Lepisosteus oculatus: one gene and its partners. The protein of the gene in region 1 interacts with the protein of each later gene in a pairwise test. Links are inferred from orthologs where the notes say so. Each region holds a gene or a part of one and is shown in the gene's direction. Other genes may lie near its edges. The genes, in order: creb1b, pogzb and crtc1b.

What was found.
Region 2: the proteins of creb1b (region 1) and pogzb interact in a two-hybrid assay, tested with the Homo sapiens proteins (2 studies listed by BioGRID and IntAct). The link is inferred for Lepisosteus oculatus from reciprocal best matches to the Homo sapiens genes CREB1 and POGZ.
Region 3: the proteins of creb1b (region 1) and crtc1b interact in binary tests that used the Homo sapiens proteins (3 or more experiments, as listed by UniProt). The link is inferred for Lepisosteus oculatus from reciprocal best matches to the Homo sapiens genes CREB1 and CRTC1.

The regions. Positions count from the first base shown.
Region 1 is NC_090707.1:7,622,239-7,630,062, reverse strand, and holds the start of creb1b (cyclic AMP-responsive element-binding protein 1b), read left to right. Parts: upstream 1-4,806; 5' UTR 4,807-4,937; intron 4,938-7,824.
Region 2 is NC_090722.1:3,869,119-3,876,334, forward strand, and holds the start of pogzb (pogo transposable element with ZNF domain), read left to right. Parts: upstream 1-4,181; 5' UTR 4,182-4,401; coding exon of another isoform or gene 4,402-4,502; exon of another isoform or gene 4,503-4,505; intron 4,506-4,761; exon of another isoform or gene 4,762-4,832; intron 4,833-4,856; exon of another isoform or gene 4,857-5,160; intron 5,161-7,216. Other genes in the region: retinol dehydrogenase 13, read right to left, coding at 1,753-1,871, 4,402-4,502. UniProt on the Homo sapiens protein: Plays a role in mitotic cell cycle progression and is involved in kinetochore assembly and mitotic sister chromatid cohesion.
Region 3 is NC_090724.1:2,622,027-2,629,337, reverse strand, and holds the start of crtc1b (CREB-regulated transcription coactivator 1b), read left to right. Parts: upstream 1-4,305; 5' UTR 4,306-4,381; coding exon 4,382-4,507; intron 4,508-7,311. UniProt on the Homo sapiens protein: Transcriptional coactivator for CREB1 which activates transcription through both consensus and variant cAMP response element (CRE) sites.

The DNA.
Region 1 (7,824 bases):
AATTGTGTCTTCATCTCGCTGTGCAGCGGTGAGCAAACTCGGTCCGCGAGGTTGACTCTCTTTCGTTCCAGCCCTCATCTCATCGTTGCCTCAGTGGGCAAACTGTGCCCGTTTGTCTGCCAGGACTTCACTGGTTCTATTTAAAACACGACAATGTTGCCTAGAGGACTGGACTAGACTGAGGCTTGTTTCACACAGCTTACAGTACGTGTTGAAAACAGCAGTGTCATGAAGTCGCAGACGAAAAAAAATAAAAATAAAAAACAAAACAAAACAAAAATGAAGTCTCAGGCGAGAATGAAGCTTCAGGGCTTCCACACATGAGAGGGCTGCAGTCACACAGGTCCTTTATCCAGCCAGTGCAGGCCAGCAGCCACGTGTTTGTGCTCTGGGGAACCTCTCACCCGGTTCAGACAGGAACGGCCCTTGCAGTCCAAGCAGACAGAACGTGAGTTCATGCTGCCATCTGCTGGCCAAACGTTTTTTTGGTTTCTTTTTTAATCCAGAATGAGCGGGAAGGGGGCCAATAACATACACCAGTCCGGCCGGTTTTGTTGTTGTCAATAATAATAATAATTCCTTACACTTATATAGCACTGTCCTGGGCACTCAACTCAAAGCGTTTTACAGGTAATGGGGATCCCCTCCACCACCACCAGTGTGACTCCCCACTTGGATGATGCGACAGCAGCCATAGTTCACCAGTACTCTCCCCATACACCAGCTCTCAGTGGGGAGGAGAACAGAGTGATGAAGTCAGTCCAGAGATAGGGATTATTAGGAGGCCATGATTGGTAAAGGCCAGGGGGGAATGTGGCCAGGACGCCAGGGCGAACACCTCTACTCTTTTCGAGAAACACCCCGGGGTTTTTAATGACCACAGAGAGTCAGGACCTCGGTTTTACATCTCATCTGAAAAACAGCACCTTTTTTACAGTATAGTGTCCCCATCACTATACTGGAGCATTAGGACCCACACAGACAGCAGCATGAGCGCCCCCTGCTGGTCCCACTAACATCTCTTCAATCAGCAACTCAAACCTCCCATCCAGGAGTCTCCCATCCAGGTACTGACCAGGCTCACACTGCTGAGCTTCAGTGGGCTGCCAGGTGCGAGTTGCAGGGTGATATGGCAGGTGACACTACCGTTGTTAAAGTCCAGGGATGAGAAACAAGCTGCTGATGAAATACCTGTTTCCTGGTTGGCCATAAGTGACCTAACCAGTCAGTACAAGAGTGCTGTTAGTGATTGCTGATGACTGGCTGCTCCCTCCAGTGCGATCTGTCCTAATTGACCCGATGAAGACTGTGATAAAGGCTACACTGCAGTGATACACAGGACCACACACCAGGCCAGATCCAACATGCTGCTGACAAAATGCAGAGATAGATAAGATAGATAATACTTTATTAATCCCATAGGGAAATTGATGTGTTACAGCAGTCCAGCCCAAGACAAGCAAAACAGACATCAGAATAGTTATAAAACAAAATAAATAAAAAATAAATAAATTGTGCTTTTGTGTTTCCAAACAGATATGAACACTCTGACATCTCTGACTTTCCAGATTACTGCCTTCTCTCTTAACTCCTTTATTGCTCCATATAATTGCTGCAAGATGCTGGTGGGCCAGTAGGAGGCGCTCTTCCACTGGACCAGACCGTCATAAGAATGTAAGAAAAGGTTACAAACAAGTAGAGGTCATCTGGCCCATCCAGAATGTTTGGCGGTTAGCGGCTAATTGATCGAAGGATCTCACTCTCCCCTGGAAAGAAGCCGGGGCATCGGCATTGAACATGGATGGGCGGCTTGTTCCACACTCCCACCACTCTTTGGGTAAAGAAGTGCCTCCTGTTCTCAGTTTTAAATGCACCACCCCGTAGTTTCCACTATGGCCCCCTGGTTTGTGTTGTGCTTTTCATGCCAAAGAAATTGGCTGGGTTGACTTTGTCACTGACTTTGGGGATTTTGAACAACAAGGGATAAATTCCCTCAGCCTGTTTATGCAGGACCTTGGTTTAATCCCTGGAATGTATCAGGTTGCTCTTTTCTGGATGGACTCCAGGGCTGCAATATTGTTTTATACTGCCGTGACTGAAATTGTACACAGTATCCTACATGGTCCTAACGCCCTCGTGTCATCTTTGAGTTAGAAGATGACCGCTGTACGTTAGGGAGCAGTTTCATAACCCGGTAACCCGATCTTGCCTGAACTCAGAAGCCAAGCGAAGCTGAGCCCGGTCAGAACCGGGATGGGAAACCTCTGGGGATACTGGGGATACTGTTATAAATGGTGGGACTCTAGGTGGTGTTCTTCCCTCTGGATTATCTTTCCATACATTCATTTTTAACGGCTTTATTCAATACAGGGATAAGGGGGAGCCAGAGCCTATCCCAGCAAGCAACGGGCTCCAGTCTGGATACACCCCGGACAGGACACCAATCCAGTGCAGGGCACACATACTCACGCCAGGGGCAGGAGTGCAAACCTAACCGCTGCACCAGTATTTCACCCTTTCCCCCAGATCACAATGTCCCTGTATAAATATCCTAGTATGGTGTCTGGAAACACTGCACTGTAGGAGGTGCTGTCTGTCAGATGGAACCTTAATCTGAGGTCCTCATGACTTGGGTCATTAGAGATCCCCTGGGCTGTTAGCAAGAACAAGGTTATTAACCCCAGTGTTAATAGGGTTAAATTCCACACTGGGCTTGTACAGTCGGGTCATCCAAAGGTTAATTCACCTGGTGAAGCAGTTTCCCTCTCCCTCTGACCTGCTGATACAGTAACTCCAGCGTTGTGTGTCTCCCAGGTGGGGATACTGGTACAGACTGGCTGCTGTGTGTCTCCCAGGTGGGAATACTGGTGCAGACTGGCTGCTGTGTCTCCCAGGTGGGGCTACTGGTGCAGACTGGCTGCTGTGTGTCTCCCAGGTGGGGCTACTGGTGCAGACTGGCTGCTGTGTGTCTCCCAGGTGGGGATACTGGTGCAGACTGGCTGCTGTGTCTCCCAGGTGGGAATACTGGTACAGACTGGCTGCTGTGTGTCTCCCAGGTGGGAATACTGGTACAGACTGGCTGCTGTGTGTCTCCCAGGTGGGAATACTGGTGCAGACTGGCTGCTGTGTGTCTCCCAGGTGGGAATACTGGTGCAGACTGGCTGCTGTGTCTCCCAGGTGGGGATACTGTTGCAGACTGGCTGCTGTGTCTCCCAGGTGGGGATACACTTCAGTGGTGGGTGAAATGGGTACACTACTAGATGTAAAGCACTCTTGAGATCACTTGGAATGAAAAGTACTATATACTGCAAATACACAGAATTACTGTTATTAACATCACTGACACTGTCAAGATAGTTAATAATTTTGAACCATGTTTACTTTTTAACCTCCCTATTCCCAATTAAAGATAATCAAATCACCTCATTCTGGTTTTCAAATCTTTCAACACACCCATGGCAACAATTGGTAATGAACACCAGTTAAGGGAGCGGACAGGCCGGGTACTGATGGCGCTGAAGGCCACTAGGTGGCACTCTTGCCTTCACAACACTGGGCTCCCCGTGTCTTCAGGAGAGACCCGTCTCCGCAGCATTCCCATCTCAACATCAAATCAAATAACCTCGGAGGTTCCACGGGTTCATATCCCCGTATTCACGAGCGGCACAGTTCTCAATGCTGCTGGCGGCTCCCGTGCAGTACAGCGCACTGTCTGTCAGAACGTGAATCCCTGACATATCGATATAGACACCGCGCGCTGAAATGAAAACTGGGGGCCTGGCTTCGCGTGCCATGCAACTCCGGGCACACGCCCCTCCTCGGCGGGGGCCATGAGGTCTAACTTCTACCTTGGTTCAGGTTTTGAAGAAAACAAGACGCGAGTCTCCTTCAAACCCTGAAGCCCGCTGTCTCTCGGGATGATGACACTGTTATTGTGATCGTGTTACTGTCTATTGTCTTGTCTGCTGTTCTATTTATATACCCCACCCGGGAGAGACTGAGAAACACTTTTCACTGTACTACGCACCCGTGGAAGTATAATGACAAATCAAGTAGAATTGAATCCCGAACTGCCCGGCACGGTCTGCAGGCAGACACGCTGCGCTTTCATCTCGCTGAGGCAGTGAAGAAACACACGCTGTCGTGTGACCCTAACCCCGCTTTTGGACAAGTTGTATACAGTTGCATCGTCATGTTATTGTGCCGTGGTGCCGAGATAGAAACCAAGAGCTTGGCAGTTGCGACACTAAATTTACTGTCCGTCAACATGGCCCTAAGATCCCGTGTTCAGCTGCCTTTCACACATACAGAAGCCTGGGTGATAAACTGTAACCTCGAAACCTTGACGAGAATTATGTGTCAGGAATATATATATGTATGTTACTCTGTAATAACGGTATTCGCTGGCTGGTCCAGAATCCAACCTGATTTAATAAGAGTCGAGAGCGCCGAGACGCGACTAACAGCACCCTCACCTTCATCCCTAAACTTCCTTAACACATACATAACAAATCCTACTCGACAGCGTGCATTTATTCGCTCACGTAATATAAGACCAGCTTTCGACGTTAGATGTAACACACGCACTAAACACAACGAAACAGCGTTCACCAGCACCACTGAAAGCGCAACACCCTTCCCAACTAAATAAAGCTTACCCTCGCACATGCGCAGCTCACACCGTTCCCTTCTGCCCGTGCATTTCCGAAAGGGCTCGGGACGCCGTTCGGTAAACTCCGTCACGGCTTCGGCATATTTCGGCGCCGGCTCGGCCCTACCCGATGGTGCTTGCTGAGCTAATTTTCGTCTCCCTCGTTCTCCGTGTTGTTGTTTCCCGGTGACGCGGCGGAGGTGTAGCCTGACGCGGTCTCTTACGTGTCGGCCTGAATAAAAGTGGAGCTCCGGGGGCCCGGGAGTGACGGAGGGAGTCTGTACCGGTAAGAGAGGAGAAGTGTCCTGGGGGGTGGAGGGAGACAGGACGCGTCCCGGAGCGGGTGCGAGTGTCGCTGGCCTCGGCCCCGGGGAAACAAAGAGAATCATGGCGGCTGGCGGGGCTCGCAGGCGAGCTAGCTGAGGCAAGGCGGGCGGGAAGGGAGGGGAGTCTGCGGACTGACCACACGGAGGGAGCGGGCCAGGACGACAGCGGCGCGGGTGTTTGCACAACTTATTTCACCCCCGCCGAGACAGCCCTGCCCGCCGGAGCCGTTGCGACAACCGTGCAGGCGCCCTCCGCATCTGTGTGCTTGTGGCGCGTTTGTGCGCACAAAATAATAATAATCATCATCATAATCATAATAATAATAAACGGTAGTGGGATGCACCAGAAATAAATAAGGATGCGGAGATAACGGTCCGAGGTGGTGTTTATTTTGGCATTAGAAACGTAGCTGCCCCCTTTTTTAAAAAAAAAAAAACCCCAAACAAAATCCTCATCTTCCCCTGCTGTAGAAGAGGCTGCGTTTGTGTCAGTTTTTTTTTCCTCCCCGTTTCGGAAGATCCCCACTATGGCTGTGCAGCTGAATTTGAAATACAGAAATATGCACGCACACACACATTAAAAAAAAACAAAACAACAAGTGCTGAACCCGTGTCAACGTCGCCGGGCTGCGTGTGTGTGTGTTGGTGTTGGTGTCGGTGTCGGTGTGGGGCTTTTATTTCTCCCCCACCCGAGGGATGCGATCGCGGGTGGCCTCCGTGGCAACGAAGATTTCTCGGCGTTTTCGAAGAAGATGGGGAGCACAAGAAAAACTTTGTGTCTGCAGCCCACCTCCCCCCTCGTCGTGGAAGCTGGGGGGGGGGTCGTACATGTGTGTTAAAACGGGGCCCAGATCAATGCAGACAGCTGACGGGTTGTGATCTATATATATATAAAAATAGCGAGCTGGCCGAAGGAGGGCCGATCAAGTCCCCCTGTGTGGTGTGGGGGTCCCTAGCGCCTATCCGGGCCCGGCCTGCGCCCCCCGGTTCCAGCTCAAGTGCCTTTCCTCGGTCTGTTTTATTTTATTTTCCTAAATCGCGGTGGGGAGGAGTGGGTGTGACCCGTTCAGCCTGCCGGCTCGTCTTCACGCCCCCCTACCTGGGCGGTCAGGCCGCAGGATCGGTGCGTTTAAAGTCGCCGGGGCGTTTCTGGCCCAGCGACCCCCCCCCAGTCAACAGGCCTGGGCGCCGGGCAGCCGGCTCGGCGGCGGGGTCTCTGGCAGAATCCGGCCCCCTCACCAAGAAGACCGGCGCTCCGAAATCCGGGTTTCATGCAGCAGGAGAGGAGCTTCACTTGTATGATGAACTACACTGCAGGGTGGAAGAGCCCACTGGCAGGTGTGAACTGGTTTCTCAGATCGCAGAGTTCAGAGATCCTGCCCCGGGGGAAACAAGGAAATATTTCCCGAGCAGTGTTCTGGCGCAGAGCGCTCCTTTGTTTTGGGTGTTTGTGTTGGGGAGGGCAAACGCCAATCACATTTTTATCACGGAAGCCTCGCGGGGAATTCCGCGTGGAATTGTTTCCAAACACTTGGATCAAATTTGTTCAAATCGGCAAAAAAAAACATACAAAAATGAAAGGGCCAGTTGTTTTGAAGCTAGAAGGTCCAGTTTTTTATATTTCTCTTTGGTAGAGGAGGATACAGTGGGGGAAAAAAATGTGCTTAGTTTAATTTTCTATACACAGAAAACACATCACGATATGTTTCCCTTCATCCTCCCAGAGGGCTCAAGGGCATTTAAAACTGTGAACGGGAGACACGTCTTTACACAGAGGGTAGCGGGGGCGTGCAACAGGCTGCAGCTAGTTTCCAGAAAGAGGTATGAATGCGCTTGTGAATAAAAGCAGCTCCGCTCCTTGGCGGTTTTGCCTGGTCTGCTCTGGGAAGCCGTGAAGCAGCAGATGTGGTTACTTTGAAGAATCGGACTGAAGCACATGAGCATCTCCCACACTGCAGCGGTGTGGAATAAATATATATACAGAACTGTAAGTTTACGCTCTAAATGAAGCTGTTAAAACTACACATAAATTAACAGAGAGGAGTCACTTCTTTTAAGCCTGTTTCTGAGCGAATGAGGAATAGGTGGAGTATGTGGAGCGCTTCAGCAGCATGTTGTGGGAGGTGGAGGAATGTGGAGGAGGGGTTTGGTCTGGAAGCAGCAGGCTGCAGAGGTACTGCATTACAGAGGTGCATGTGTGCCAAGAGGGAGCCACAAAGATCTGTCTGCTGGGAGCGGGTTTGATTTCTTCCCCAAGTGGGAAATGACCAGTTTTGTTGTTGTCGTTCCCTGTTGATGTTTTGCTTTGCCATGTTTATAAATGCGAGTGGGGCTGGTTATTTCCACGGGGCTCCAGTTCATTGGGTTCGACACGTTGTGTGCAGGTGGGGTACAGGTGACAGTCACAGTGCAGGGCTGGAGTTCGTGTTGAGTCCCCTGTGTGCAGTTCTGGTGGGAGATGGGGTACAGGTGACAGTCACAGTGCAGGGCTGGAGTTCGTGTTGAGTCCCCTGTGTGCAGTTCTGGTGGGAGATGGGGTACAGGTGACAGTCACAGTGCAGGGCTGGAGTTCGTGTTGAGTCCCCTGTGTGCAGTTCTGGTGGGAGATGGGGTACAGGTGACAGTCACAGTGCAGGGCTGGAGTTCGTGTTGAGTCCCCTGTGTGCAGTTCTGGTGGGAGATGGGGTACAGGTGACAGTCACAGTGCAGGGCTGGAGTTCGTGTTGAGTTCCCTGTGTGCAGTTCTGGTTGGAGGTGGGGTACAGGTGACAGTCACGCTGCAGGGGTGACAGCTGCACCTTTGGCACCTGGCTCCTCTGCTGGAGAGAGGCGGCTCCAGCTCAGGCT
Region 2 (7,216 bases), on another chromosome or scaffold:
GCTATGTAAGTGGAAGCAATTATTAATTATTATTAACTGTTCATAAGAGTGTGAGTATTAACCAAGTGACCTGGCTGCAATCTCTGTGTCTTTGGGATTTTGTTCCACATCTACTGCTAATTGGCCGGGATTATGAAATCCTTAATCACACGGGCTGTTTGGTTTTCATACTGTACTAAGGTCTCAGCTTTGGAAGTAATCAGCACTGTTAATGTATTTTTCTTCCAGTTGGAGCCATTTACACAGGCATTTTACTGAAGCAATCTGAATGATGTCCCTCTCTCAAAGAGACAGATCTGCCAAGGACTGGTCCCAAACCTATCAGTTTGCAATCCAGACTCTCTGCCACTCCTCCTGCTTGCTCAACAACCAGCTCCTTTATGTGTATTTTTACCAGGGTGCTTTGCGAACACAATCTCTATTTCATCTGGGTGTAAAATAGTCGCTGTCACATCCAATAAGATTTCTGAACACCTCATTGTCCGTCAGTGAGCGACACATCCACGCAGACGGCAATGACACTGTGACAGGCACTCGGATTATAGAATTTCACACTGTCTAGCACCACTGATTACACTTCCCCTTGAAACCACTGTCACAGCCGAGAGGAATTCTGAATCCCAGCTCCTGGCCAAGGGGTGGAAGATGACGTCTCAATCTCTCTTACTGTCCAGAGGCCGGAGCTGTTTTTTCTCCGAACAGCCAAGCGTTCAATTCTGGCTCGAACACGTGTAATTAAGAAGGAACCCTGCTGGAATAAAAGGCAGGAATTCCCAGACCCTGCTTGAGAAGCACTGGTCCGTTAGGAATTATTATTTTGGAATTCCGTCTAGGAGAGACTGATGCCTCAGAAACCTGGTATAGAAACACTCGGGTGAGCCAGGTCCTTAGACAATGACTCAGGGCTTCTCCTTTATATAAAACACCCTTTTAAAATAGTTCACGGACATATTTGTGTGTATCTCCCAACGCATTCACACATACTCCCAAGTATAATGGGAATCCACCTATATCAGGTGTTCCAGGACCGGTTCTGGGGTCCAGGGGACCCCCAAACCTACTGGTTTCTGTTCCCCTTAAGTTAAATAATTTAGCTTGAGTAATGTAAATAATTTAACCCTTAGTAGACCCCCAAAACAGAATTATTTTGTACCCTTAAATTGCATTTTAACTGTTTTCAATTCCTATATATCTAGGCTGTGTTCCAAGTATCTTGAAATATCCTTTCAGTACCACAGAGTGCGGCAAAGATTCTCAACAGGCAACCTGTTGGCTTAGTTCAGGATTTATTGAACTCTATTAGGTGACCTTTGCACTGTGCCCTGCAGATGCCTTTTCTTCTGGAGGTGAAACTTGAAGATGACGACTAAATATGATGATGACGACTGGAAACGCTACAGGAGCACGGACACGGCACGCACAAGCGAGTCTTTAAAACGGGGCCGGCCTACAAACTTTCGGATGACCCATTTTAGAATAGAAGTTACTACCAGAGTATGGTGTGCTACTGTACATCACTAAGATTTTTTTTTCAAATTAAAAGGCCTGTGCCCTAAAGCCGACCTTTTCAGCTGCCTCTAGCGCGTAAAACCAGTATTCCTTCATGATTTATTGATCAAAGAACGAATGAAAATCACGTTGATTTCGTATCCCCCCCAGAACCAAATCCTTGTGATATTTACGCCCCGGGACGCGAGGTTCGAGACGAGCCATCCTGCGTGTAAACGGCAGCCGGTCAGACGGGGGACTTACTGATCGCAGTCACGACGGTCACCGCCCCGCACCTGGTCAGTAGACTGAACCACTGCCCCTGGTCCCACATGTCTCCCAAGAAGAAGGGGGCGTCGCTCCCTCGGGGTACCTGGCACCAGCTGGGGTGAGGGGGGATAAGGAGAAAGAGGGGGTCTGTGGAAGGAAATTGCCCCCTGGGTTTCCGTCGGCCTTGAGAACGCGACCCGTTTCTGAGCTCTCCGAGCAGCGCGGCTATGAATAGTCCTAAGCGAGCTAAATCAGACCTGATTAGAGGCTTCCATAGTAGATTAATGACTAATTCGAGCGCAGGAACACTCGTTGCGTTATTTGCCCCGGCTCTCTGAATCCTCTGTTAAGACCGATTACTGCCAACAGTGCAGCTCTGCTCTGCGCGGTGACTGGGGCAGCCAGAGCCACTTCTTAGGGGGGTTTTGTCTCGAATGTGGGTGTTTGCGCAGAGAACAGCCACAAAAAATAAATACCTAAGCAGGCCCCAAATAATCCATTTCAAAAAATAGAACGAGAGTTCTTATTTTAAAGGGTTTAAAACACGGCCAGGTATGCCAAAATTAACACGTTATGACAGAGGTAATTTATTCTCTAGTTCAGCGACATATCTTTTTCACCGTTAAACCCAGATCTTGGACGCACGTGGACATCCTCCAGACATTCTGGAATAATCTGTGTTGAACCCAGAAAGGAAAATTGGAAGAATTAATTTGAGCGCTGCAAACCTCGCATTTTTCACGATCGCAGGAGTTGTATCGGGGCGAACTACGGCGTTGTATGTAGGTCAGATAAGAATGAGAACCGCCGAGCCCGTCTGAGCGATGTCCCGCTGTTCGCGGCTCAGAAATGATGCTTAGACCGCCATCCTCCCATTAACACAGTGCCTGACCGCACACTCACATGGGCGGTTTGTGCTAACGTGCTATAAAAGCATGGGTTTACATTCCATACATGATTTTTTTAAAACAAAATCGCGCCTGTTTTAAAACAATTCAATTCCCACAGCTGCTGAGCTTTCACAACTCAATAAAAAAACAAAAAGATCGAATCTAAAATGAAAACAAAATAACTACCACAATGTTTTTTTTTTCCTGAAGGCCTTCGTTGGGATGCCCGCTGACAAGAATATGCCAAATACTCTCGTGTTGGTTTGGGGCAACTGGGGTGGTCCTGCGCCAGCGAGCCGTTGGATAACGCATTTTGGTGTGTAGACTTATTCTCCTTTCAGTTTTTACGTAGCAGTTTTATTGATTTTCAAAATCACTGTTTAAATATTTCCCCGTGAAGGTGTGCAGCATAATGTTTATTTTGTCACCCCGACGACGCAGTAAAATACGTCCTATAAATGATGAAATAACGTACACTCGACCCATACGATCACAGCTGTTGCAAAGGTACATCTGTTTGTACTCTCCTGTCTCTAAAAATGTTAACATTTCGGAGGAACCACTGGCGTATTTGATTAACAAAACTGTCGTTACAGTTTAGAAAGTATTGCTGCAATAGAAAGGACACCGTTTGACGCAGTTCGCGCATTTTGCTTGTGGATGAAGCCGTTCCTGTCGGCCAAACCATTGTTCTGTGCAAAATCGTTGCTCCTCCGTCGTTTACGTTGGCAATATAACTCAATATTTCTCTTCTTAGAAACAGGATTTTGTGAGACTTTATTGTTATATAGACTTTCTTGTTTCATAAGGCCTACCACTTATTGTTGAGCGATTTTAGTAAAGGGAAATAATCGTCGTTTCTTAAATGGAAACCTTTCTGAAGTATCACCTTGGCCAAGTTTGGCCGCCATCTTGTTTTCTGTGGCTACATTTACTGTATTTTACACCCAATTAAAAATGATATGTGATACTGTGGATTTTATATTATTCGTGTATGGTTATTTAATAAATATTCATCGCCTGGATAGGGCGGAGTGTGATGTGTGTGGCCAAGGGGGAAATTTTATTTGGTGGATCAAGACCTCCACTGTGTTCCCCGTTGAGTATTCAAGATGTGATATCTTGATAGATGTAATATCTGATTGCGTTTCTTTTTCTTGACTCATGTTTTGCCGCATACTAAAATGGTGTATCATGTATCATTTCTTTCAAAATACCTCACAAAATGGACGCACTTAGTGGAAAGCATAGGGCCCCCCCAAAGCAAAATTGGTGCTTTTATTGAGACTTTTAAAAGTGTAGGTTCTCAAAATTTATATCAGTCCAATTGAGGGAAGTGTTTACACCTTACTATGTGATGTATTATTTTATTCCTCCCCCAAAATGGACACAAAAAGACCCGCGCGAGCCACAATAAAAGGAACTACTTCGAGAGATTCTGCTCGGGGCGGATTTTATTCGGCAGGGCCTCGGTGACGTCACCCCGCCCCCGCCCCTTTCGCGGCGCTCTCCTCCAATAAGAGCCGCGGGCTGGCAGGGAGGAAGTGACGTTGGCCTCACCAGCGCCGAGCGACAAAAAAAAAGAGAGGAGTGAGGAAAAAAAAAAATCGCCTGCCTGCCTGCCCCCAGATCGGGCTTATTTGTTTTCACCGGGTGGGCGAATCCCCGAAGCTTCCTCAGAATTTTAATTTTTTTTTCCTTCATTTTTTTTTTAAATTTTCCGTCGCCCACCGGGGAAGGAGGACAGACGTACGCGAGGTGAGTTTGTTGTGATTGTGTGGCGGGTATTGTTCCCTCTGGTGGCGTCGGAGCGCGCGGCTCATTGTCCTGCCGGGGGGACCCGTCTCCCCCCATCCCGACCGGCGAGCGCCCCAGCCCCGGAGCCCACGGGCACGCTGGCGTGTGCGTGTCTGGGAGAGGGGGGGGGGGACCCGGGGTTCCTTTAAAGGCGGCTGCCCCCGGTTTCGCGGGGGAGACGGCAGGCTGGCGTGTGTGCGCGGCGACGCGTCGGCCATGTTGGACGGGCTGTCCGGGCTGAGGAGGGAGCTGCTGGGTCTCTCCGCCCCCGCTGGCCGCCTGCGTGCTGGGTGCTACTTTAATTGCTCGCTGTGCAGGAGAAGCCTGGAAATGCGGCGCGATATTGGACTACAATGTGTAGCGTATAATGTGACTCGCACCAGCGCTGTGAGTGCAGGACAGTTTTTGCCTTGCGGGTTTATCACGTCATTGTTTCGTTTATTGTTTTTAAAAAGCCCTCAGTGCAAGTGTGCAGGGTGAAGATGGACGCTGCGTTCTGATAGGCTGCTGCGCGTATGACGTAAACGGCCCTTCATGTCGTGAGGTCAACTTTCTGCGAGGTCTCGACGTCACTCTGACGTCACCGGTGACAGAGTGAAACGGGCGGGCGTTTTTATAACGCACGGTGTTCGGTACAGGTTTTTTTTATTTGGCTCACAATTTCAGAACCAAACTCGCTCCGAGCCCGAGGATGGGAGGAGAACTGGAGTGTTATGTATGTGATTTTTCATTTTGCCGGATTGTGCACCCCAGGGTGGGAAATATTTGCTTTTACATCACTTCGGTTGTAGAAGTCCGAAGACAATTAATTCATTTGGTTGGTATATTATAAATAAAACAGGCCAGCAGCCATATCACCCTGCAACTCACAACTGGTAACCCACTGAAGCTAAGCGGGTGTGAGCCTGGTCAGTACCTAGATGGGAGACCTCCTGGGAAAAACTAAGGCTGCTGCTGGAAGAGTTTTTAGTGGGGCCAGCAGGGGGCGCTCACCCTGCAGTCTGTGTGGGTCCTAATGCCCCAGTATAGTGACGGGGACACTATACTGTAAACAGGCGCCATCCTTCGGATGAGACGTAAAACCGAGGTCCTGACTCTCTGTGGTCATTAAAAATGCCAGGGAGTTTCTCGAAAAGAGTAGGGGTGTAACTCTGGCATCCTGGCCAAATTTCCCATTGGCCCTCACCAATCATGGCCTCCTAATAATCCCCATCTATGAATTGGCTACATTACTCTGCTCTCCTCCCCACTGATAGCTGATGTGTGGTGAGCGTTCTGGCGCACTATGGCTGCCGTCGCCGGCAGCGAGGTCCAGCCCATAGAGAAGGGCGCCGTGTCCCCCCCTCCTCCTGGGCTGGACTGGTAGGCCGGAGGGATACGGTCTTCCGCACGTTTCCAAGGATCGACCTCTCACAGCTCAGGGACGGCGTGACTGTTCGCCAGGACAGTTTACAGGGTGGTGGTGGTAAATCCTGACCCAAGATCAATGCCTCAGCCGAGCTGGAGACCACAGGAGTCGGCTGTGTACTGGGGGACGCTGCACTCCTGTCTTGTCCACAACATACCCCCAAGATACCCCCCCGCACCTCTGCTCCTGGAACTTGGACAGCAGCTCCAGCATCTTACTGACGGTCTTCTTCTTGGCGGCGGGTTTCTGCGCGGGGCTCAGCCCCGAGGGGGGGTCGGCGGGCTTGGGGGGCAGGCTTTCCGCCTCCAGGGGCTGGGCCGGGGGCGGCAGCGCGGGGGCGTTCTTGGGCGCACCGGCCACCTTGGTCTGCACGGCGTACGCCCGGATGGTCACCTGGCGGAGGAGCACGGACAGGCTGGGCTGAGGAATATCTCAACTCAACGACAGCAGCAGCAGCAACAACAGGGGTGAATGTGGCTGATCAACAACACTCATCATAAGCTTTACCAATTCTGATTTCGTCTTACGGGAAAACTGAACACCATTTAGCAGTGGCGACTTCATGGGAGTGTGGAACAAGCTATACAGCTGATAGCTGATGTGTGGTGAGCGTTCTGGCGCACTATGGCTGCCGTCACATCATCCAGGTGGGGCTGCACATTGGTGGTGGTGGAGGGGAGTCCCCATTACCTGTAAAGCGCTTTGAGTGGAGTGTCCATATAAGTGTAAGTTATTATTATTATTATTATTATTATTATTATTATTATTACTGTGGTGCGAGTTACATTTTGTACGTTTGTGTGTTCTCTCAAGCCGGTCTTTTCGAGCAGGTTTCTAGAACTCTGCTTGAATGGTATCTCCCGGCGTAGAACCCCCCCCCCCCCCATAGAAGAAGTGGAATAATCCGAGTCCTTCTACAAAGAGTCACTCTGCAAGGATCTCTTTGCCAAACAGGTTTTCACAGTGATGAGTCAATGGAGTGGGTGTGATTTTAAACGGTTATGTGCGCGGCTCGTATTGTTAAATGCATTTTGCTTCTGCAGTGCAGCCTTGAAGATAAGGGAGGAGACTGCGGTTGAGATAATTGATGACAATTGTCCCCATCATACATCAGACCCCTTTAGCTCCCCCTTCAGTTTTTTATGTATTCAATTAAAAAAACAAACCTCGTAGCTCGACAGATGGGAGGTTGAAACTGCCAGGCACCGCGCTTCATCTTTTACAGAGAGCGCGTGCGGAATTGCAAAGGCACTGCGCCTCGTGATCGCTTATTGGAAGCCCACTGAGATAATGGCGGCTGCTTCTATGTCGGATCCCTACGAGATCCGCGTACGGGTGGGGATTCTCTCCAGGTGGGCCGTTC
Region 3 (7,311 bases), on another chromosome or scaffold:
TGTACGTATTTTTGCTGTGGCACATCTACATTTATCTACAAAATTAGATTAGTGCAATAAGTTGTGTGGCCACTCTGTGCAATGATAGTGGTTGGCTTGATTTCAGAACAAATATACCTGTCTCTGAAAGGTCTTTCACTCAGGTAGAAACTTTCCCGCAAAGATTCAAACACGAAAACCATGGCGCTTTCAGAACAGCTGAGCGATAAAGTTATATAAAGATACAGTTCAGGAGAAAGGTAACATTTCAAAGAGCCTTGATATCTCGTTGAGCACGGTGAAGGTGGCCGTTAAGGAGTGGAAAGCACACAGACGCAGCCTGAAGGAAGAGGTGAGAGATACAGAGCTCAGTGGCTGAGATGGGAGAAAACGTCCGTGGGTCATCAGTGTTCTGATCACTCCAAAAAAGCGTGTGTATAGGTCTGAAAACAAATGTAAGATTTCAAACGTGGCAAAATGTTTGCCAAAATAAAATGGAAACTTTTTGATCTAATTGCAAAAGAATGTTCTTGACCGGCACAGTCAAAGGCCTGACTTGAACCCTACTGCTTTTACAAAGCAATGTTTCACTAGAGCTTCACGATGTGTGCAATGGGCTGTGAGCCAAGAATTCAGCTATAGCAAACTCTTCTGAGTGCGGCTGCAACATCCATGCAGCACCCTTGGCACTAAATAGCATTTCTCATTTAAAAAAGAATAAAATGCTTTACTGGTGTTCCTTGGTCACTTGCTGTGAGACAGATGGCAACATGGTCACATGTGATGTCAAAAAGGAAAACTTATTTACATTATTCTCCTTTTATCCCAGTACTGGCCATTGCCAGAAAACGTGCATGCTGCAGTACATGAAATTTACTTTGGTGCTTTTTTTTTGCAAAGAAAAATACAGAAATGTAGTTATATTACTTATAAATCTTATGCAATATTCATTTAAATAGTCTCTTTTGACCATTTGTTTGAGAGTTTTTTAAAGTGATTAATATTTTATGTTTAATAGAGGTGATCTTGCATCTGTTAGGTATGAATCTTCCTGTTGTCACTAATTATTGATTAGCTTAAAGATAAATATTCTAGGAAAAAAGACACCTAACTAAGGGAACTAAGGGAGGAAATATATAACTAAAGCACTGAATGGAATCCTTTGTGACTTTCTAGAAAATAGTACATTATAAATCATTCTCTGTAGAATTCAAAATAATCTTCTTTGAAAAATCCTTTCCAGGGGACTTCTTAAATAAACAGAGTGATAGCATTTGCTCATCTAACTATAAACTCATATCAACAGGCAAACGTTTTTGATATATGCAGCACATTATAAAAGTAGGCAAGGCAGCTGATGGTATCACCAAAAATAAAAGATTCTACAGCTGATATTATTAAATAATACATGAGTGCAAAAAGCGTAACATTGGATCACAAAAAAAAGACATGTGGGGTGAAAACTGAAATGAATAAAGAGAGATTTAGTGCATTGGTCTTTTACTTGCAGGGTAATCTGCACATGAGTTAGTTATGACCTTGTTTTCAACTCTTGGGCTCGAGAGATCAGACCTGCTTTTCAATTATGCAAGAGAACAATCTGCGCTTTCCAAATTTTCATGTCATTCCATCTTAAACAAAATGGCATTTATAGGACAAAACGTCAGATTAGGAAACATGCGGTACATAATGTAAATAAAAATGGACAGAAAAAGAAATTAAATCTAGTAATAAATATAAATTACATTCATAGCTTAGGAAGTTGAGAGTTTGCTTAAAAGTGTTCTTGGTGCAAGACAAATAGATTGCAATGAAAACAGAAACCTTTCTCCCCTAGTAGAACCCCAACCCTGTCACATGTGTTTTCAAAATGATCTTCCACAAACTGTGCAGGTGCCTTGATGTCCCAGTCCTGGGTGTACTAGGGATTTCCATGTTCTGCCTTGTTCATGTGTTTCCTTTGTTCCTACAGTATGTGCTTAATGATTTCATGCAGGTGTTATCCCTACATGAAGAGTGGAAGTGAGTCATCTTTGTTCATGATCCTAACCCCACAGGAGGTTAATGTGCAAGATGTCTGTCCATCATTCTAGAGTAGACCACTATTCCATTAAAGTACTGTAGCATCTGAAAAATCTTACACACAGCCAGTAAATGTGTGTGCACAAGCCAAGGGGAGAAAGAGTTTTGGTTTATCATTCCCAGAACTGCTTTATCCAATTCAACTCTTCGAACTCTTTGAACATGTTATTCATGCTGAAGGAGTTACAGTACGTAGCTTTGCAAGGAAGATCCTAAGATGAGTAAAACAATGGAGCCTTATACAGGAAGACATGTCAGCCAATAACAAGATGGTGTCACTCCTTTCTTTAGATTAAAGTCTGCTGTTGCTTTCAGGGGCTGATTCTTTCCTAGAGAATCCGTTTTGCTTTTTTCAGGGAAAGTTGGCTTTTGCACATGTCACCCTGGAAGAGTGGCTTCCACCTCAACCACTCCTGTTCTTCCCTGTGAGAATGAAATCTTCTGTGTGCTGGTAAGGTCATCTGCAGCAGTTGAGTGTATTTATTAGAGCTGAAGAGGACATTAATAGAAGCCAGCATTCATGAGGCTTGCCAGACAGGGAGACGTGATTATTCTGCACTTTTTCCTTTTCAAGCGCTGGACAAAGACAGGACTTCAAGGTTTTTTTGCAGCCAAGAGCCTTCTGCACAGCTTCCCACATCCCTCTCTCAGCCCCCTCTCCCCACCCAGCGGTTTCCTTGGTTACTTTACAGTTGAGTCTATACCAGGGCCAACAGCAGGTTCAACAGCAGAGGTATTGTTGTTTCTGCCTTTATTGCCTGTAGCTCAAACTCCAAGGTTAAATATCTCATTTGTCCTTGTACGCTTCACAGAAGCTCTGGCTCTGAGTTTTTAGGTAACTGCGGGCGACTCAACACAAGATGTTAATAACTTCAGAGCTTCCAGCTAAAATAAGAGTGTCCAGCTTACACCGTTTCCTCCTCCCTGTTCATTTGTCTCTGCAGACCATCCATCCCCTTTCAAAGCAGGTCATCAAGGAGACAATCCCAGAAAGCAACAGGCACAAGGCAGGACACACCCTGGACGCCAGTCCATCACAGGGCACACAGTCACACTCACACCAGGGCCAGCTTCCCCAGAGGCCAATTAACCTACCAGCATGCCTTTGGCTGGGAGGAAACCGCAGCACCACGCAAATGAGGAGAAATTAGAACCCAGGACCTCAGTGCTGCGAGGCAGCAATGCTAACTACTGCCCAGCGTGCTGTCCTCTCTCTACATGCCAATAATGTTGGGGGCCGATGGAGCCTCTATCTGTGTAGATCTGAGAGCCAGATGTCTCTCTCGCACTCCATAACTAGATTAATCCTCAAGTCACAACATCCTTAAGCCCTGTCAAGTTCATCCGAGAGTGGCAACAGATGTTGACAGTGGCCTGAAAGAACGAGATGGCTTTGGTTTCATGTTGCATTTTGTCAGTGGGATGTTTTTTATTCCAGATTAGAACAAGAAATATTTCTGTGAAGACCATTTTTTTATTTTTCTGTAATGGCCAAACTAACATAGATTTGACTAATTGAATTTATTTTTGGATTTAACCTGCCATGTTTGTTGACACAATGTAAATAGTTCTAAAAAGGTGCAATTGTAAACTCAAAGAAAAGACGAAAGAATAAACTATGCCTATTTTACTTTGCCGTTTCATCAGTAAATAAAAAGTTAAAATCATAGTTTTATTTTGATTCGATTAATTTTAATCATCACAAGTGTAGTTGAATTCTGACCATTTCTAGTTCAGGATTATTTATCTGTGATATTTGTATTCGTTTCACATGGTGATCATGTGTGTTAGTTCATTGCAAATACAAGAAAAAGAACACAGTATAAATATGACATAACCAAAATTTATGAATCCTACTTTACAGGATGGGCAAACTCTTTAGTAGATGGTAATGTGTACCAGATGACTCAACAATCCTCTTAATGTAGCCATTAACAACACAGAACCAATGTCAAAGTCAGGCATGTCTTTTGATTCTGAAGGACTGGGAATGAATGAATAAAACAACGTTTCAGGTATTTATATTGCTGGCTTCTCGTTAATGTTCTAAGCTAAGCTCGGAGTAGAAAGGTTGCGACATTTATAAAAAAAACAAGGTTACAAAGGAGGTAATTCGGTCCATCTAGCACATATATTCCATGCATATAAAAATATATAAAAACTAGTTCAGGTTAAATTTACCCATCCCACACCACTGAGCCGAGAGCAGACGGGGGTGGCGATGTGCGGCACAGCGTCGTGTGCGTGATGACGACGCCTACGCGCGGGGACGTGGGCACGCTACGTCCCGTTGAGGGAAAGAGGAGGAGAAGAGCGAAAGATGGCGACCTCAAACAATCCGCGGAAATTCAGCGAGAAAATCGCTTTACATAACCAGAAGCAGGCCGAGGAGACTGCGGCTTTCGAGGAGGTGATGAAGGACCTGAGCATCACCAGAGCGGCGCGGGTAAGCGGGCCCCGGCGTCGTTTTGTTGTGGTCCCTGGGCTGCAGCGTGCAAGGCGAGCCCCGTTACCTTGGCCGTGGAAGTAAACAATAACAAACCCCCCTATCAATGCAATCGCTAATCGATAGGCGAGATTGATGGCGATTCGGCTGATGGACGGCATCCGCGCCGTGCACCGTGCACGACTCTCTCCCCCAAAACCCCGGGGTTTCTGGTTCGGTCTCACCGAGGAAAGTTGCATCAATCGCCAAGACGGCACTGCAAGTGATGACAGTTCGCTGTTCATGTGTAACTTGTGTTGTCGGTGCGTTGTGTTCGGACTCTCCGCGGCGGTCGACTAAACGCGCCGTCCCCCCCTCTCCACCCTGTGGAAGAGCATGCATGTCCCCCCCGGTCCCCAGGCTGCAGCGTGAAACGGTATCGGCTGAGGCTGAGGCTGAGGCTGGAGGTGTGCATGGCGAGGACAGCCCGGACCCCCGGGTCGCTAAGCAGGCGTGGGGAGAGGGAAAGTCTGAAGGTGGCCGGGCAGGCGGTGCACCCCGCCAAGGCAGATTCCCACTTCCCGTTTCTGTGAGTAAATCGCGCCCACAGCTGTCAGCGGGAGCGAGTTGGCAGCGGGGAGGGTGGGTGTTCGCGCTGAACTCAGTAAATCAGATAAAAATGTGTTCACCGAGGTGAGCGGAAAATTGGAAATTAATTTCAGGGCCGAAGCATTTCAAGTTACCGTACTATACTGACGCCGGGGCACGGGCGGTGGGGAGTTTATGTGTAATTTGCACGGGCGTTTTTCATTTCTGCACAGATTGACTGCGAAGTCCGGCCCTGGACTTCGCCCGAGGTGCGGTAGGGCGCTCACGCCGGTACAGACGTGTAGCTTTGGGGAAAGAGAGCATCAGCTGTCCGGCGGAGCCGCCGAACCCCTTCTCGTGTTTTTGCTGCATTAAAGAAATTGCACGGTGTTCAAAAGGGGCGGGCTTTTTTTTTTGGGGGGGGGGGGTTGTTGTTGTTGGGGTAACGGGGGGACGTGTTCGTGGGCAGGTGCCGGGTCGTGTGGGCAGCCTCACAGATGACTGTTTCGGTGCTGTCCGGGGGGAGATGAGGCATCACCTCACATGCAGCCAACTTGTTCCGATGCGTTGCTGTCAGAGCGGTCTTCTAATCTGATTGTCACGGAAGGCATTTGCAACCCCCCGGCAACCTTTCCAGATGTGATTTATTTTGCCTAATACCGCAATTCTCGTGCATACAGCACACACACACACGCACGCACACACACACTCCCTGACCTACTTCAGTTATGGCCTTCGCGTTCATCGATCACCAGAGTTCGGGATTTTTTTTTTCCACCCGTGTTGGGAAACATCTGGCGCTGTTATTCGTACAGATAGGCGAACTGCGTCGCACGTTCAGCGCTGGAAACGCATGCCAGTGTCCCTGTTGCCGCTGTAGCCATCGCCAGCGCCTGTCCGCTCCGGGAATCAGGAGGAAGCGCCTCTCACACAGGCTGTGCGTAAAAGCACCGCGCATCTTTATCAACAGACTTGTTAGGGTGTCTATTTAAAACCCAAAATTCAAATATACTCTACAATAAGTGTCTGCTTTAGGGTAGGGTAATAGTATTTGTCAATGCAGCGCATGATGTTTATGCACAGTCTCCATAATAAACATGTTTCAACGGAAGAACTTGACTAGCAAGATTTGACACTGATCTTGATCTTGCTGCCTGGTATCTGATGTTCATCAAAAGTGCTCTACATCCTCTGACCATACACTTGGGGACTGAGTGTGCTTGATCAAAAGGGCACGTTATCATTATTGTTCAGTTCTTACATGTATTTTTAGTAAAATTTAACTTCGGTAACTGTAAAAGTTCCTGAAATCCGTTTTAAACAGGCTTGATAGAAGCAGACTTTCCCTTGTTTTGTGTACGTCTCAGTTTGTGTTCAGCAGTCACTTGAGACATACCTTACTCATCATACTGTTTGCATGTTTGTTTTCTAACATTATAATATCACAGAATTATGCCAACTGATGCAGACACCAGACGTTTTGTCCAGATACCCAACTGGCAAAAGCTGACATAAAAGGAAAAGATGATTAAAAATAAACTGCTGTTAATTTGCCTCAAGTGGTTCTTGTAAACTGTCGAGTGTTATTGGGGAAAATGAGAAGATCAGCTTAACTTTTAAAAAAAACGTTCTGTCATAATGAATTGTTATAGGAGTACACTGTATATAAGCTTTTAAAAATATCCTGTTTTCACTTGCAGCGATTACACCGTTATATCAATTACTTAGTAGGCTGTGCTCCTGAGCTCTGTCTGTTGTCCCAGTTCTGATGGCGGATTATAAATTAAAATGAAGTAAAGCCTCTTTGTTGATTTCCTAAACGCCATGTTTTATTTAATTCCTTTGTCAGCCCAACGGAAGCTGGTACTTTACTGGGCGATCATAAATAAATTCAGGCACCCCGGTGTCCTCCGTCTATGGGCCATGATTCCTGTCCTTAGCTTTAAGCAGTTTCCCTGGCAGCCGTCCCCATCTTCCTTACCTCAAGAGGCACGAGCCCTGAAAATGACTTGGCCCATTAGATCTGTTTCGGAGATGCTGGAGTCAGTGTATTTATGCACCCGGCTTTTTTAGAGTTGCATCCGTTTGGTAAACGTTGGGTTTTTCCATAAATTTAAAGAACCAAAGCCATCTGAAGACTGTTGATTAATTCTTATACGCAGTTGTCAGGATCCACTGTATGTCGGTGAGCTGCTGGGTTTTTGTTTGTGTCTAGTGTTCGATGCTGTGCAGGTGAG